3 linked regions of the Saccharomyces cerevisiae S288C genome follow. The gene in region 1 interacts genetically with each later gene. Each region holds a gene or a part of one and is shown in the gene's direction. Other genes may lie near its edges.

Region 1 (6,150 bases):
CGCCGGTCTAGTGGAGTAAATTGCGGGGTCAGGATCCCGCGCGGATATCGGCCGTTCAAAGGGTGAAAAGAAGAAATCATTGGAGTCGTTGCGAGTCATTCTTTACGAATCTAATTTCTCCAAATTTTTACAGGTATTCTTAGCCGCCCAAGGTAGCATACAATGACCTTCTATTGCAAAAATGTACAGTGGAATGTAAAAACAGTGGGGACAAACCTGTGGAACACTAAGCGTGGGGGTCCATCCACTTAAACTAAATCGTATTGTTTAAAAGTGTGCAAGCATTGCGATAACGTTCGATTAGACTCTGAATGGAAGACAATGAGTTGATTTTGCTACCAGCAAAAAAAATAATTTATAAACACATTATTCTTGCAATATTTTTCATACTGTGCGTTTATACCTTTTGAAAATTATAGATCCATTTATATATTAATTAACATCCGAAACAAAAGGAAAGTGCGAGGACCGGCCCACCCGATGACTAACGGGAAAGTGGACATGATTTGCCATTTGTACGGGTAATATTTACATATTATTTGATGTGCTTCTTTGGATTGTGTGCAATCACTTACTTCACAGTGTCTATGTAAGAGATGTGAGAGTGTAGCTCGGAAGGTGGAGACATCTCCTAGATCTTGTCTGGCTTCGTTGGGGTAGCCATGAGAAGTTTTCCATTCCCCCGGGTCATGCATGCTGCCCGAGTCAAATAGCGTTTAACTTTGACTCGTACGCCATAATAGGTTATGTTTTATCTTTGGTCAGGGACCCCAGTATTGAGAAAGTAACCTAGGGATGCTACGCCCCAGCTTTACTACGTGGATGATACAGTAAGCACATACATATTGACGGCATCTAATCGTTCTAAACGGAAAAATAGGCGCTGATTTGATCCACTTCGGTTAGGTAACCGCTGATGCCAACGATCTAGGGCCCTTCCATTTTAGGAAAAAGGGTATATACTCTGATGCCCTGTCTGGCCGAACATTCGTATATGTGGATGTATCGTGATCCGTTCGTATTCAATAAAAGTGTAACGATCTCATCTCAAGTCAAAAGTGAGAAGGGAATAACTAAAAAAGAAAAACTGATATTTTGACGTGACGTGGTTTATTAGCAAGTATGTTTCAACCATTCTCAGCGTAAACCCTATCACAATAACGTCTCTATGAAAAGTTTAACATTTTGTCTATCTCGGTTCAATCAGTTGAATAGCGAACCTTATAGCAAATAGCATTTTCAATAAAAATGTGACATACAGACTTCCACTTTTCTTGCTTTTCTCATGCTCTGTGTGATGCTACTGTTACCGCGGCACCACATTTTGGCATACGTCGGGACATTGGCGGCTGAATAGATTATACCCGTCGCCCTTTTTTCATCTCTCCTTTTCTTTTTGTCGTAAGCAAATTACAGAATTGAATATTTGAATAACCCTAAAAAAAATGCCACTCCCCTAAAAACAAACCAGATTAAGTTGCAAGAAATAGACTGATTGGAACATACGGGTCCTATTCAGTGCTCAATAAAAATTAAAATAATGTGATCAAACAACCCGAGACTATTCTTGAATTAGCATTAGCCACTATAAATTTTAACATTTTTCAGAGTCTTTCGTGCGGAGACCGTAAATATTAGCATTGACCTTGTCAATGAAGTAATTGTCTTTGATTTTAACCGTGTTAAAGATTTCGCAAAAGAGAAAGCTTGCTGGCTTGGAGCAGTAACTTTTTTTGATTTTTTTTTACAAGCACACATGCTTTTGCCTTTAGAATATTACGGCTCCTCATGTGGATAGTAAAAACTTGACCGTTGCATCTGTTCTCCTTCGAACAAAGAATAAATCGTCTGAAAAATCACATAGAAAAATAATAGAAAAATAAAAAACATAGTAACATATTTTAAAAGAGACCTTTTATTGAAGAAAATTTGGCGATAAAAATGATTATAACATTGAAATGACGAAGAAAAGGACAGTGCCCGAATTCTCGATTCCAATAAAAGGCGAAAAATTACAATCGCCAGCATGTTTGGTACGGGGCGACTCGTGGCATTTTAAAGTACGCTGGCATGTTTAAAGGTATTAGTGTTCTTGGCGTGGAAAGTGCAGGTGTCTCACTTTTTAGAACGAACAAATTCAAACAATATACAACAATCCGCCGAAAACATTCCAGAAATTAAGATTGTTAAGCACTTTTGCTAAGAAAAAAAAAGGGCTCTCCCCTGTGAATTAACTCAAAGGTAGCGTGTTCTGCCTATGCAAGGTGACCGTTTTTGCAGATATTGTAGTGAGATGCTCTACAAAAGGGGTTTCCTAATCTAATCTTTTACCATATCAAAAATGCCCTAATATTATTATTAAAGAGCTATCAAAGCCTGATTCCTTAGGTATATGACTAGTTCCCGAATTAATGGCATTGATTCATTACTTATTTTATTAGGGGGATGATAAAAATAATGATATCTTTTTCTGCAGCGTCATTTAAGTACTGATTGAGACTGACAGTTGTGATAGAGATATTAAGTAGTAGAAACGGTCCATGAATTGTTCTTTGTTAATATTCTTGCTGAGGGAGGCTTTTCTTTTGGGCTGCTATGCTTTCATTCTACTTAAGCAACGAGATAGGAAGCTTCAAAAGGTGAATGGTGAAATGCTGAAGAAGATTTCGTCATTCCAATCCTCGAGAGTGCGACGTAAGTAGTGACTCTAATGAATTTTCTATGCCTCATAAAGCTTGAGGTATATTTATCCATACGCAAATAATACACGATCTAGGATTATTGTAGTATGTTATTGTTTGACAATATCCTTGGACAAGTTCTAATCACTTATATTTCCCAAACATGATTCGTGTATTTTGGCGTTAGAAAACGACGGCAAGTAAGCTCCCAACATTTACTTGACGAGTTTTTTGTCACTATCATCACGCCCTAGAGCCAAGTTATATTTTTATCGTAAATTCTGTAAATTAACAGTCATTCTAAGCAGGTTGTTTTAATATTTACAGGTAACTTGGCTGACTTCTTTTAAATGTGGCTTCTATGACAAAAAAACTGAAAAAAATGACTAATTAGTAAATTCAGCCTCTTATCATAAAATCAGGGTCTATAGGACGGTACGTGAGAAAAAGATAAGCTTTGGAATATAAAGAGTTACATTTTCATTCTGCAAAAATTCAAATAAAGGAGTATTGAAAAAAAACTTAAAAAGTACAAATAATTAATATAGTTCGAGATATTTAGTTTTCATTGAGTTGGAAAAATGATTGTTCCCACTTATGGAGACGTTTTGGATGCCAGCAACAGAATTAAAGAATATGTAAATAAAACACCGGTTCTCACTTCACGAATGCTTAATGATCGACTTGGAGCACAAATATACTTTAAAGGTGAGAATTTCCAACGAGTGGGAGCGTTCAAGTTTCGTGGAGCAATGAATGCTGTTTCAAAATTAAGTGATGAAAAAAGAAGTAAGGGAGTAATTGCCTTCTCATCAGGAAACCATGCACAGGCTATTGCTCTTAGTGCAAAACTATTAAATGTACCTGCAACAATTGTTATGCCCGAGGATGCGCCCGCCCTTAAAGTTGCTGCTACAGCCGGTTACGGAGCACATATCATAAGGTATAACAGGTATACTGAAGATCGCGAGCAGATTGGGCGTCAACTAGCAGCCGAACATGGTTTTGCATTGATTCCGCCCTACGATCATCCTGATGTTATTGCAGGGCAAGGTACGTCGGCAAAAGAGCTATTAGAAGAGGTTGGACAACTTGATGCATTATTTGTTCCTTTGGGCGGTGGTGGGCTCCTTTCAGGATCTGCACTTGCCGCTAGAAGCCTTTCTCCAGGCTGCAAAATTTTTGGGGTTGAACCTGAAGCTGGTAACGATGGACAACAATCCTTCAGATCGGGTTCCATTGTTCATATCAATACGCCAAAAACTATCGCAGATGGCGCTCAAACACAACACCTCGGTGAGTACACATTTGCCATTATTCGCGAAAATGTCGATGATATTTTAACGGTTAGCGACCAAGAGCTAGTAAAATGCATGCACTTTCTTGCGGAACGCATGAAGGTGGTTGTTGAGCCCACAGCTTGTTTGGGATTTGCAGGTGCACTTCTAAAAAAGGAAGAGCTAGTTGGGAAGAAAGTAGGCATAATACTAAGTGGAGGTAATGTAGACATGAAGAGATATGCTACTTTAATCTCTGGGAAGGAAGATGGCCCAACGATTTAGTGTATACTTTTGAATTTTGAGTTCAGTTTTATAGTGAAGAATTGGAAAGCTTTAGTTGTCTACTTTCACACGGCATATATCATTTGACTTAACATTAATAACATGGTTGAGATTTTGAAGTGAGTTCAGCAAAAAAAGCCTCTAGCTGATTTATACTCTGATAACTCTACATATTTTTCTACTAGTATTATATTTCACTGAACTGACACCCTTATGTGGGAAAATTTTTTGGCAGAATGATAGTGTGTGAGAGGGAAGAATACTGCTTATGTCAAACTAATAATATAACTTCTGACTGTGACTATGAGCATTACTGGTATATTAGTTTCTTTTGCATATTTTGAACTAAAACAGAAGAGCGTTCCTAGGCTTACACCCAGTAAAGACATAGCTTCTAAGTTGAAAAAACATATCTCTACTTCAATTAAAGGTAACTGTCATAATGTCCTATTTTATACGCAGAAAAAATTCTCTTTTCCACACACAATATCGTCTGCTCTTATTACTAATCAATCGAGATCTTGCATGAAGATATTTATGGTCCACAGGAAAGGATAAGCCTCTATTTTAAGGAATTATTACCTAACCAAGACCAAAACTGTAGAAATCCTCCTAAATTTAGTTCTTCACTTTTTTTTGATAATCATAATATGTGTCAAGATATTCGCAGCAGCCACATATATGAATACCAAGTTATTCAACAATTGAGTTTTAAAGAGCAACCCTGAAGGATAAATTAGTGTTTTACATTATATCCGTAGGAAAAAAATATGGCGATATACGTGACAGATCCCACAAACAATAAAGCATCAAGCAAGGTCACCAGGTCAGTTCTACCGCAGAAATTAACGATGTATTACTTAGTGCTCTTTTGTAGCAATAAATTCGCGTGAAATACTCAACACATGTATTGATATAACTTTCAACATGTTCCCTTGATTAACAGTAGACGGGAAAAGAGTTACATGGTTATGTTCAAAATGGATAGTTATGACCAGTACCAACTAACACTCAATATTCTTTTATGATTTGGAAGATCAAACTGTTGCACAATCAATTGGATTATAGTTTCTCTATTTCATTAATTATTATAACAACAAATTAAGTGAATTAAATATTGAAATATTATAATATAATCAGTTAATGGGTTTGACAATAACCATTTTTAATAATATTAGGAAAAGTAAGTATTAGGTTATTATTTATTTAATAATTTGAAAATTAAATAAATTAATATAATCTTATCATTTTTATTTATATATTATTTTATTATCATATTATTATTATTTATTATTTCTATATTATAATTTTTTTAAATTTTTATATCGTATAAATATTGATAAAATATAATTATTAATAATAAATTACAACATTTAAATAATATAAATAATTGAACTATTTTATAATAAAATATAAAAAGAATAAAAATTTCTTCTTTTTATATTTTATAAATATTACTATTTATTGCAATTTATTCTTATATTCATATTTTTTTGTTATTATTATTTATTTCTGTTAATATACTGGTTTTTGTTAACCAGAGGGGAATAGGAAAAAGAATAGTTGTAATAATAATAATAAGCGACCTTGTTTAGGCTATTCGCATCTAATAAACTACACGATCTATAAATTGAAAAGGCATGCTTGTTCCTACACGGGAGGCGCCTGTTTGCGGGTCAATTGCGCTTCTTTAATGTATGGCCATAGTTCCACGTTTAGAGGTCTATCAAACATAGGTTTCTTTGTAGATAGAAGGCGGTAAAAGAAGTGGTTAAAAAACCATTCACAGTCAATCCCATCAAAGAAAAACTCTTCACTAGTCCAGACTTTTTTCTCAAACAAGTACCTGTTCATTTTCTTTGCAATTTCGTCCCATCCATTCGCACCACTTTCTTGCTCATTTATAA
Region 2 (4,356 bases), on another chromosome or scaffold:
ATCAGGCTCCTTGACTTTCAACTCTAAAAACATCCAAAGCAAGGACAGTTACATCAATGCTAACACCATTGAAACTGCCAAGATGATTGAAAACATGACCAAGGAGAAAGTCTCTAACGGTGGCGTCGGTGTAGATGTTGAATTAATCACTAGCATCAACGTTGAAAATGATACTTTTATCGAGCGCAATTTCACCCCGCAAGAAATAGAGTACTGCAGCGCGCAGCCTAGTGTGCAAAGCTCTTTCGCTGGGACATGGTCCGCCAAAGAGGCTGTTTTCAAGTCCTTAGGCGTCAAGTCCTTAGGCGGTGGTGCTGCATTGAAAGACATCGAAATCGTACGCGTTAACAAAAACGCTCCAGCCGTTGAACTGCACGGTAACGCCAAAAAGGCTGCCGAAGAAGCTGGTGTTACCGATGTGAAGGTATCTATTTCTCACGATGACCTCCAAGCTGTCGCGGTCGCCGTTTCTACTAAGAAATAGAGAGAGCACTACGTAGTCCCTCTTTTAATATGTAACGTGTCGCTTCTATTTATCAGACATAATAGTAATTACTTTGTTATTTTTCTATCGTTTCCTTACTTTAGCCTCTGATTTCGATCTGGCCTAATCATTGTGTACGTCTATAATCATATGGCCCTGAGCGTACACACCGTTCAATTCTTCTATTTGGTCGGCCCACACAAATTCGCGCGGGGGCATATTGACGCGTGGAAGAATAGAAGTCCGCGTAGCAGCTCTGGGGTAATTAGGCTTTTACGATATCGGCTGGCCCAGCACCGGTTTTTATTCCTCCCGTGGTTGTTGTCTCTACCGTGAGGAGGGGAAAGGGTCAGGGACGGCCGGTAGTTATGTTGTCTCAACGATTACTGCCATCTATTGTTTACACCAATCGCGTGGGGCAAGGGGCTGGAAGGCTGTGGTGTACAGAATAGGGTCTAATACCCGATGCGCGACGCTCCTGCGACTGGTTGTGTGAGCCACCCCTTGATCGCCTCTGCCAAATACTCAGGGAAGAGAAAAATCGCGAAGGTGGACGAGTGCCCTTAAAGAACCAGCATCCTCGATCGCCGCTGCCGTTCGCCCTGGCTTAGCGGTGGGAAGCATCCTTTGGCTTTCGAATTCTCCGCCGTTGAGTCCCCCTAAGGGCCTTATTTATCCCCTCTATTTTTTTTTAGAAAATGTTTTCTTTTTCAAGATTTGTTTGCTCCTTCACGGCTTCCCCCTTAACCGTTCAACAGTCTTCCGTATATAACAATCTCAATCCACTCTTATTGCCTATAATTTTGATTAATTCTTATTCATCCCGGCAGATAAAGTTTCGTCTTGTTTTGAAAGAGACAGGAGTTCTTGGCTGCAGTATTTTGCAACAGCTTCATTAACCATGTATGTAAAGAAAAAATCTGGAGCGACTTACTGGCTTAGCTTTTTTTACTAACACATAAATAATACTGTGATAAGATAAGAAAAAAACACGAAATGGAAAATACCACGAATCGTAATACTGCAGGCGTTCTTACGAGCAGCAATGGTAACTTTGCCACCAATAGTGTAGCGGCATCAACTCCGAAGAGGTCCAAAAGTGCTCGAAGGAAAACGTTCAAATGCACCGGATATGACGGTTGTACGATGTCCTTCACTAGAGCGGAACATCTTGCACGTCATATAAGAAAGCACACTGGTGAAAAGCCGTTCCAGTGTCCTGCATGTTTGAAATTCTTCAGTAGAGTTGATAATTTGAAACAGCATCGGGAATCGGTCCATGCACATAAAAACCACCATTCTACCAGCTCGCACCAGCGTAAGCCTTCCTCTTCATCTTTATCCTCCTCTTCTTCTGCATCTTCTTCGTCTTCTGCTTCATCATCTACATCATATAGTGATCCTTACAGGAAAACTAATATTAATAGCGGGAACATGCCGATGATGGCAGAAAACGAAAAAGCGCCCCAAATAATACATTCTTCGCCGGAGTTCATTACTAGCACGAGAAGCATCCCACCCATCTCTCCAAGGTCCATTTATAATACCCAACGACAGCAACAACACCAACAACAACAGCATCAACAGGCTCCCTATTATTTTCCTTCCCATCCAATCACTGATAGTTACTACCAGTATCCTCTTCCCAGTAATAATAACACCATCAATTATTTACCATCAGTAGATGTGCAGTATCCTTTGAATGTGAGCCCCTCCTCAACGAGCCATCCGGCCTCTGAGGTAATCATATCGTCCTTTCCTCCGAGGTCCATGCCAAGTACTTCCTTCAAATATAAAGATTCTGCCGACTTTCAAGCACGGACAACTATGAACAAATACAATATTAGACCAAGCAATATCAATGTCAATACTAGTAATATCAATAACCATCTTGATTCATTCTCCCCGCCGTTTTCTCCGTCAACGACAGTTGCTGAAGCAAAACCAATTATTTTACCACAGTATCAGCAGGCATTTAGCCAACCACCAAATGGAAATAAAAACAATAATATGTCTTCCTCGAAGAATGGCGGCAAAGGGGGAGAAAATTTCAAGAATACTGATGATCGCAATGATAATAATAACAAAAAGAGGTCGGAAACTTTATCAGAGTCTGATATTTCGGTCAACACCAATAAGAAAAGGCTTAGTGTTGATTACATATTGACTTGATCGAGGCAATCTGATCTAAGTTTCAAATATTCCGTAGAGTATAAATATCTTACAACTAATATAATTCTTAATATGCGCAAACAAATTATGGTGCGCATCTTTTTTTATTTTTATGTTTTGTTCCATACTAAATGCAGTTTATAAAATTTTTCAAATGAGTCAAGCTATGTATAATCAGTGCTACAAAAATGATAAGATGCAATTGCAAGAAAAAATCCCTTGCATAAAGGGCTTTCTGACCTCTTGCGTTGATCAACGAGAAATAACCGCAAAACTTAATTTTAAACTCCCGCGTCTGCTTTACACAGCCCACAGTAGCATCAAAAACTACGATGTAACACTAACGGTGGATTGTGAATACGGAACGAACAATCCTGCATCTTGACTTCAAAACTTGATCATATACACCTATACCGCCATGGTTATCTCGCCCTTACGCTCACCCGGACCCCCGTTAATTGCAATAATAAGAAAAAGAAAAGAAAGAAGCTTTTTATCTCATTTCACTGACAAGATGACGCTTTTTCCGATTTTAGCAGATAAACTATCACATATAACCACTTTTTTATATTACATGAAATGATGCCCTACAACACCCCTCCAAATATCCAAGAACCTATGAACTTCGCAAGCAGCAACCCCTTTGGTATTATTCCAGATGCGCTCAGTTTCCAGAATTTCAAATATGATCGTCTTCAGCAGCAGCAACAGCAGCAGCAACAGCAGCAACAAAATCGCACTGCGTCATCGTTACAGCAGCCGCAACAGCAACAACCAATAAGCCCGCCTTTGTTTTTAGTAGGGGCCGGTACCAGCGAAAACTCAAACCTTAACAAGAATGCCAACACTAGTACTATCCCTCCTTTACTCTTTAGCAGATCGTCTCAGCATTATGTTGTCCCAGATATAGACCACTCCTCCATAATATACAAGAACAACATCTGCAAATCTTTCAAAGATGACTTATTTTTCTGTCCAAGATCTTTACTTTCTCTCGAAGAACAACAAGCATGCGAGAAAATGGATAGGCTGACCGCTGAACAAATGTCATTGTATCATCAGAACACGCAATCCAGTTCTAATCCTGGTTCTATGTCTTCTTCACCTCCAAATTCTGCTTCTTCTATATTCAACTCTAGGCCGAAGTTCAATCCTTATACATCTCAAAGTTTTAATCCTTTGGAAAGTGTTCAAGAATGATCGCGATATGGACAAACACGTTGTTTTGATTTCTTTTTTGCATATTCCTCATTTGAACAAATCTTGTGTCCATGTTATGTTACGTTATGTTATATTATGTCAAGCCGTTTCATTTCCTACTTATTTTTAATTATCGGTTTCTTCTATTCATGTAGTTCACTATTCAATTAGTATATGTAGATAAAAGGAGAAGGGTTTTATCTGCAAACAGACGCAAGACGTATGTACTAAGCACTAAATACTCATATAACCATATTCTTTCAAAAATACATGCCATTTTTCTGTTTCATAATAATCCTGGAGGCTACAAGTATGGTGATATAATAAATCTTGAACCTTGTTTTACTGGAACTCCTAAAGTCAAGCCATACATAATGCCAGAAACAGGACCTGCGTAGATAACATATAACATGTACCAGTCATGATTACCCAACGTGCCGTTACAAATGATATATAGACCTACATTTTAGTTAGTTTCGTCGTAAGTTATGGTAATAAAG
Region 3 (3,501 bases), on another chromosome or scaffold:
AAAATCGATAGCCTTGTAAACATGACTGGAAACTCAATACACTCACTGTAGTGTTTTCATCAAACTCTAGAACTTCATTATTTTGCACGATATATTTCGCTAATAGCAAAGTTAAGGGAACGCTGTGATAAACGCCCACAAAAAAAATTGAATCTACCTCTTTGAAAAGATGAGCCCAGTGGTTCAGTAACTCTACACATTCTTTATATGTAGGTATTAAATCTTGATTATGCAGTGGGCACTGGAACGATAGGGTCAAGACTCTTTGAGGTTGTTCTTGCGCTAGATTTTGTGACAATTTTCTAGAAAGATAATAAGCCGATCTTTGTGATTCTAATGAGCGCTGCTCATACTTTTCTGGTAAATCCCCCACGACGGATATTATAATAATTCTCTTATCCTTCAGTAATGCGGTTTTTTTTTGTCTTAAATAGAGATGTTGCTCATTAGGGAAGTTATAGTAATTTTTGATAGTATTCAATACCTTAGTTCTTAGTGGTTGGACGTGCAGAAAATTCAAAGGGTTATCTGATGGTAGGATTAAAGAATCATTAATAAATACATTATACCCAGGGTTACCTCCCTCCCCAGGATATTTGTTTAATGGCAATGGGCATTTGGCTGATCCTGTACCAGAGACACTGATTATTCCTGGGGTATCTATGGAATCAATTATGTTTGATGAATTTGATATATGTGGAATTGCTTCGTACCAACACCATGATTTCGACTTTTTTGAAATTATATCCTTAGCCTCATTTTCCAAGAAGTTGATTTGTTCAGTGTTTAGTTGAGAGTAGCGGGTATTATCATCAACAACAATTGGGGCACTTCTATATCTGGATGTTGCAAAAGAAGCGATTTTAGACCATATCCCTTTATTGTCATTATTCGAGTTCACGCTATCTTGAAAATCCGTTGTCGGACTACTCCTTCCTTGTCCATTAGGATATTCTGCAATTCTTCCCGTGTTTGGCTCATCGTCGGCAGTGGAATTCCACCAGGGTTTCCATCTGTTTTGTTGTCGTGGACGTTGGGGTGGGACTTCCTGCTGGTCCTCTCGTATCTGCTGCTGCTCTTGTGTTTGATGCTGCAACTGTTTATCCTGTTTCTGCTGCACAACATCCATTATAATAGCGTTTTATATGTTGTGCTAAATTGCTACTACACTTGCTCGCTTTTACTTATTCTGTTTGTAGTTGACCTTTATTTAACGTTGATTTTTGTTATTAACCTGCGCGAATCTGTATTAAGGGCGCATATTCCATGGGCAATTTCATTATAACAGAAAGGAAGAAAGCAAAGGAGGAAAGAAGCAATCCACAAACAGATAGCATGGATGATTTGTTAATTCGTAGACTAACAGATCGAAACGACAAGGAGGCCCATTTAAATGAGTTGTTTCAAGATAATAGTGGCGCCATTGGTGGCAACATTGTCAGCCATGACGATGCTTTATTGAATACACTGGCAATTCTACAAAAAGAACTGAAAAGTAAGGAGCAAGAAATACGAAGATTGAAAGAAGTTATTGCGTTGAAAAATAAGAATACGGAAAGGTTGAATGACGAATTGATTAGTGGAACCATTGAAAATAATGTTTTACAACAAAAACTCTCGGATCTGAAAAAAGAACATTCCCAGCTAGTTGCGAGATGGCTAAAAAAGACAGAGAAAGAGACAGAAGCCATGAACAGCGAAATAGATGGAACGAAATGATGCATCAGTTGTCAAATCGTCACAAAATGCATACAAAAGAAAATAAAATCATTGTGGTGCATATACATGGACAGAATATGAAACGCCAAAGTGTTTGCAATAAAGAGGTGAAAATATGTTAAACATGCTATAGAGAGTACACCTGCAAGTTAAGAAAATGCCATTCGTGTTTTTATCTACTATAATGTAATGTGACAGCTGTTTTAAACCTTTCTTAAGGTCGTTTGTGCGAGAACAGGCTTTTTTTTTGGAGAATGTATCTTGAGAGAAACTCAATAGTAATAACTGGATGCATAAAGAAAATTTCATATGAATCACTACAAATCTTTGGCGTTAGAATTCTATTGGGTAAATTGAACTTTGTAGCTTTTTGATGGTAAACTTGGCGGTTTTGCGCGACCCATGATCCTAAGAAACCCGCAGTTTCTATTAGGATTCACGATGGTCTTTATCTCACCTTCTATTATGTGTAAGTTGAAATGCCCCTTGCTGTTCTTATAGCAGAAAGCTTTTTTTTTCATTTATAGGACTAGCATTTTGGCATTGGAAGGGAAAAAATCATGCTTTCATTGAAAAATGAAAAGAAACATATCGTTATTTTGTGGGAACACTGAAGTATAATTTTTTGTTTCGGAAATTTACCATTGCATAGTGGGTATTTTCATCGAAAGTTGGCTAAAGAATGCATGCGGCCTGTTCATTCTGGTTATGAGCATTTCAATTGGTTAGTATATTGGCGTGAGTGGAAAGAATAGTGGATAAAAACTAAGAGACCCGTTCATTCTCCTGATACGATCTTGCGGTAAACCTTATATTTTTGGGGAGGGTACTGTAATATCTCATAACTCCGCGTATTATTGTGGATGTAACTTGTTGCTGATCCTCTCGCTGAGGCCATCATTATACGTGAGTCGAAGGATGGCCGAAATTTTATGATACTACACCGAAATTAAACCGTCGTCTAATTTAAGATGGCTGAAATGCAAAAACCTGGTTCTTTAAGTGGAAAATAGAAGACTAAATGGTTTCATTGCTATTTATGGTGCAAGAAGATGGCTTAAAGATTAAGAAGCATTAATCAGATTTAATGGAAGCTGAAGTGCAAAGGTTGATTATGTAGCGATCTCTAACGACAATTGTTGGAATGAAAATGAACTATCATCTATCAACTAGTAGTTACACTACCAGTATGTTATCATGTACGGTGTTAGATGATGACATAAGGTATGAGAAACTGTCATGGAAGTTAGACGAAGCTGAAATGCAAGGATTGATAATGTAATAACATAATGACACATATAAAACAGAGTGAAGAATAATCGTAGTACTATTATGTAGAAATATCAATTCCATTTTGAGGATTCAACCTAAAATTCATATGTTTTTCAATATTAAATATAAAGGAGCTAAGATTTGGCGTAGGATCTTCGTCTATAAATTTAGTTGCTGATAAATTATTCTCCATTGTTGCTTTTATTGAGTATTAAAGCATTTAATGCTAGAATCCTCCATAACAGACAGCTTCAGTAGCTCAGTAGGAAGAGCGTCAGTCTCATAATCTGAAGGTCGAGAGTTCGAACCTCCCCTGGAGCACATTTTTTTTCAAAACTTTTTATCACTGCTAGTAAAGGTAATGAATGAAGGACGTTACTGTAGTACTATACTCATCATCATTGTCTGCATTTTATAATATTATTATTTACATGGTCCGTATATTTTTTAATTACACGTATAAATACGGTCATATGTGATTGTTCTATTCATTTTACTCTGCATAGTACT

The links.
Region 2: mutations in SRY1 (region 1) and YPL229W together harm fitness more than expected from each alone (negative genetic interaction), as found in Saccharomyces cerevisiae (2 studies listed by BioGRID).
Region 3: mutations in SRY1 (region 1) and YMR158C-A together harm fitness more than expected from each alone (negative genetic interaction), as found in Saccharomyces cerevisiae (2 studies listed by BioGRID).

Annotation. Positions count from the first base shown.
Region 1 is NC_001143.9:15,452-21,601, reverse strand, and holds SRY1 (threo-3-hydroxy-L-aspartate ammonia-lyase SRY1), read left to right. Parts: upstream 1-3,262; coding exon 3,263-4,243; downstream 4,244-6,150. Other genes in the region: COS9 (Cos9p), read right to left, coding at 5,894-6,150. UniProt on the Saccharomyces cerevisiae protein: Catalyzes the deamination of L-threo-3-hydroxyaspartate to oxaloacetate and ammonia. Shows a high specificity towards L-threo-3-hydroxyaspartate as other 3-hydroxyaminoacids, i.e.
Region 2 is NC_001148.4:113,832-118,187, forward strand, and holds YPL229W (uncharacterized protein), read left to right. Parts: upstream 1-3,235; coding exon 3,236-3,856; downstream 3,857-4,356. Other genes in the region: trifunctional fatty acid synthase subunit FAS2, read left to right, coding at 1-484; USV1 (Usv1p), read left to right, coding at 1,481-2,656.
Region 3 is NC_001145.3:572,694-576,194, reverse strand, and holds YMR158C-A (uncharacterized protein), read left to right. Parts: upstream 1-2,863; coding exon 2,864-3,001; downstream 3,002-3,501. Other genes in the region: CVM1 (Cvm1p), read right to left, coding at 1-1,129; ATG16 (Atg16p), read left to right, coding at 1,267-1,719; mitochondrial 37S ribosomal protein uS8m MRPS8, read right to left, coding at 3,480-3,501.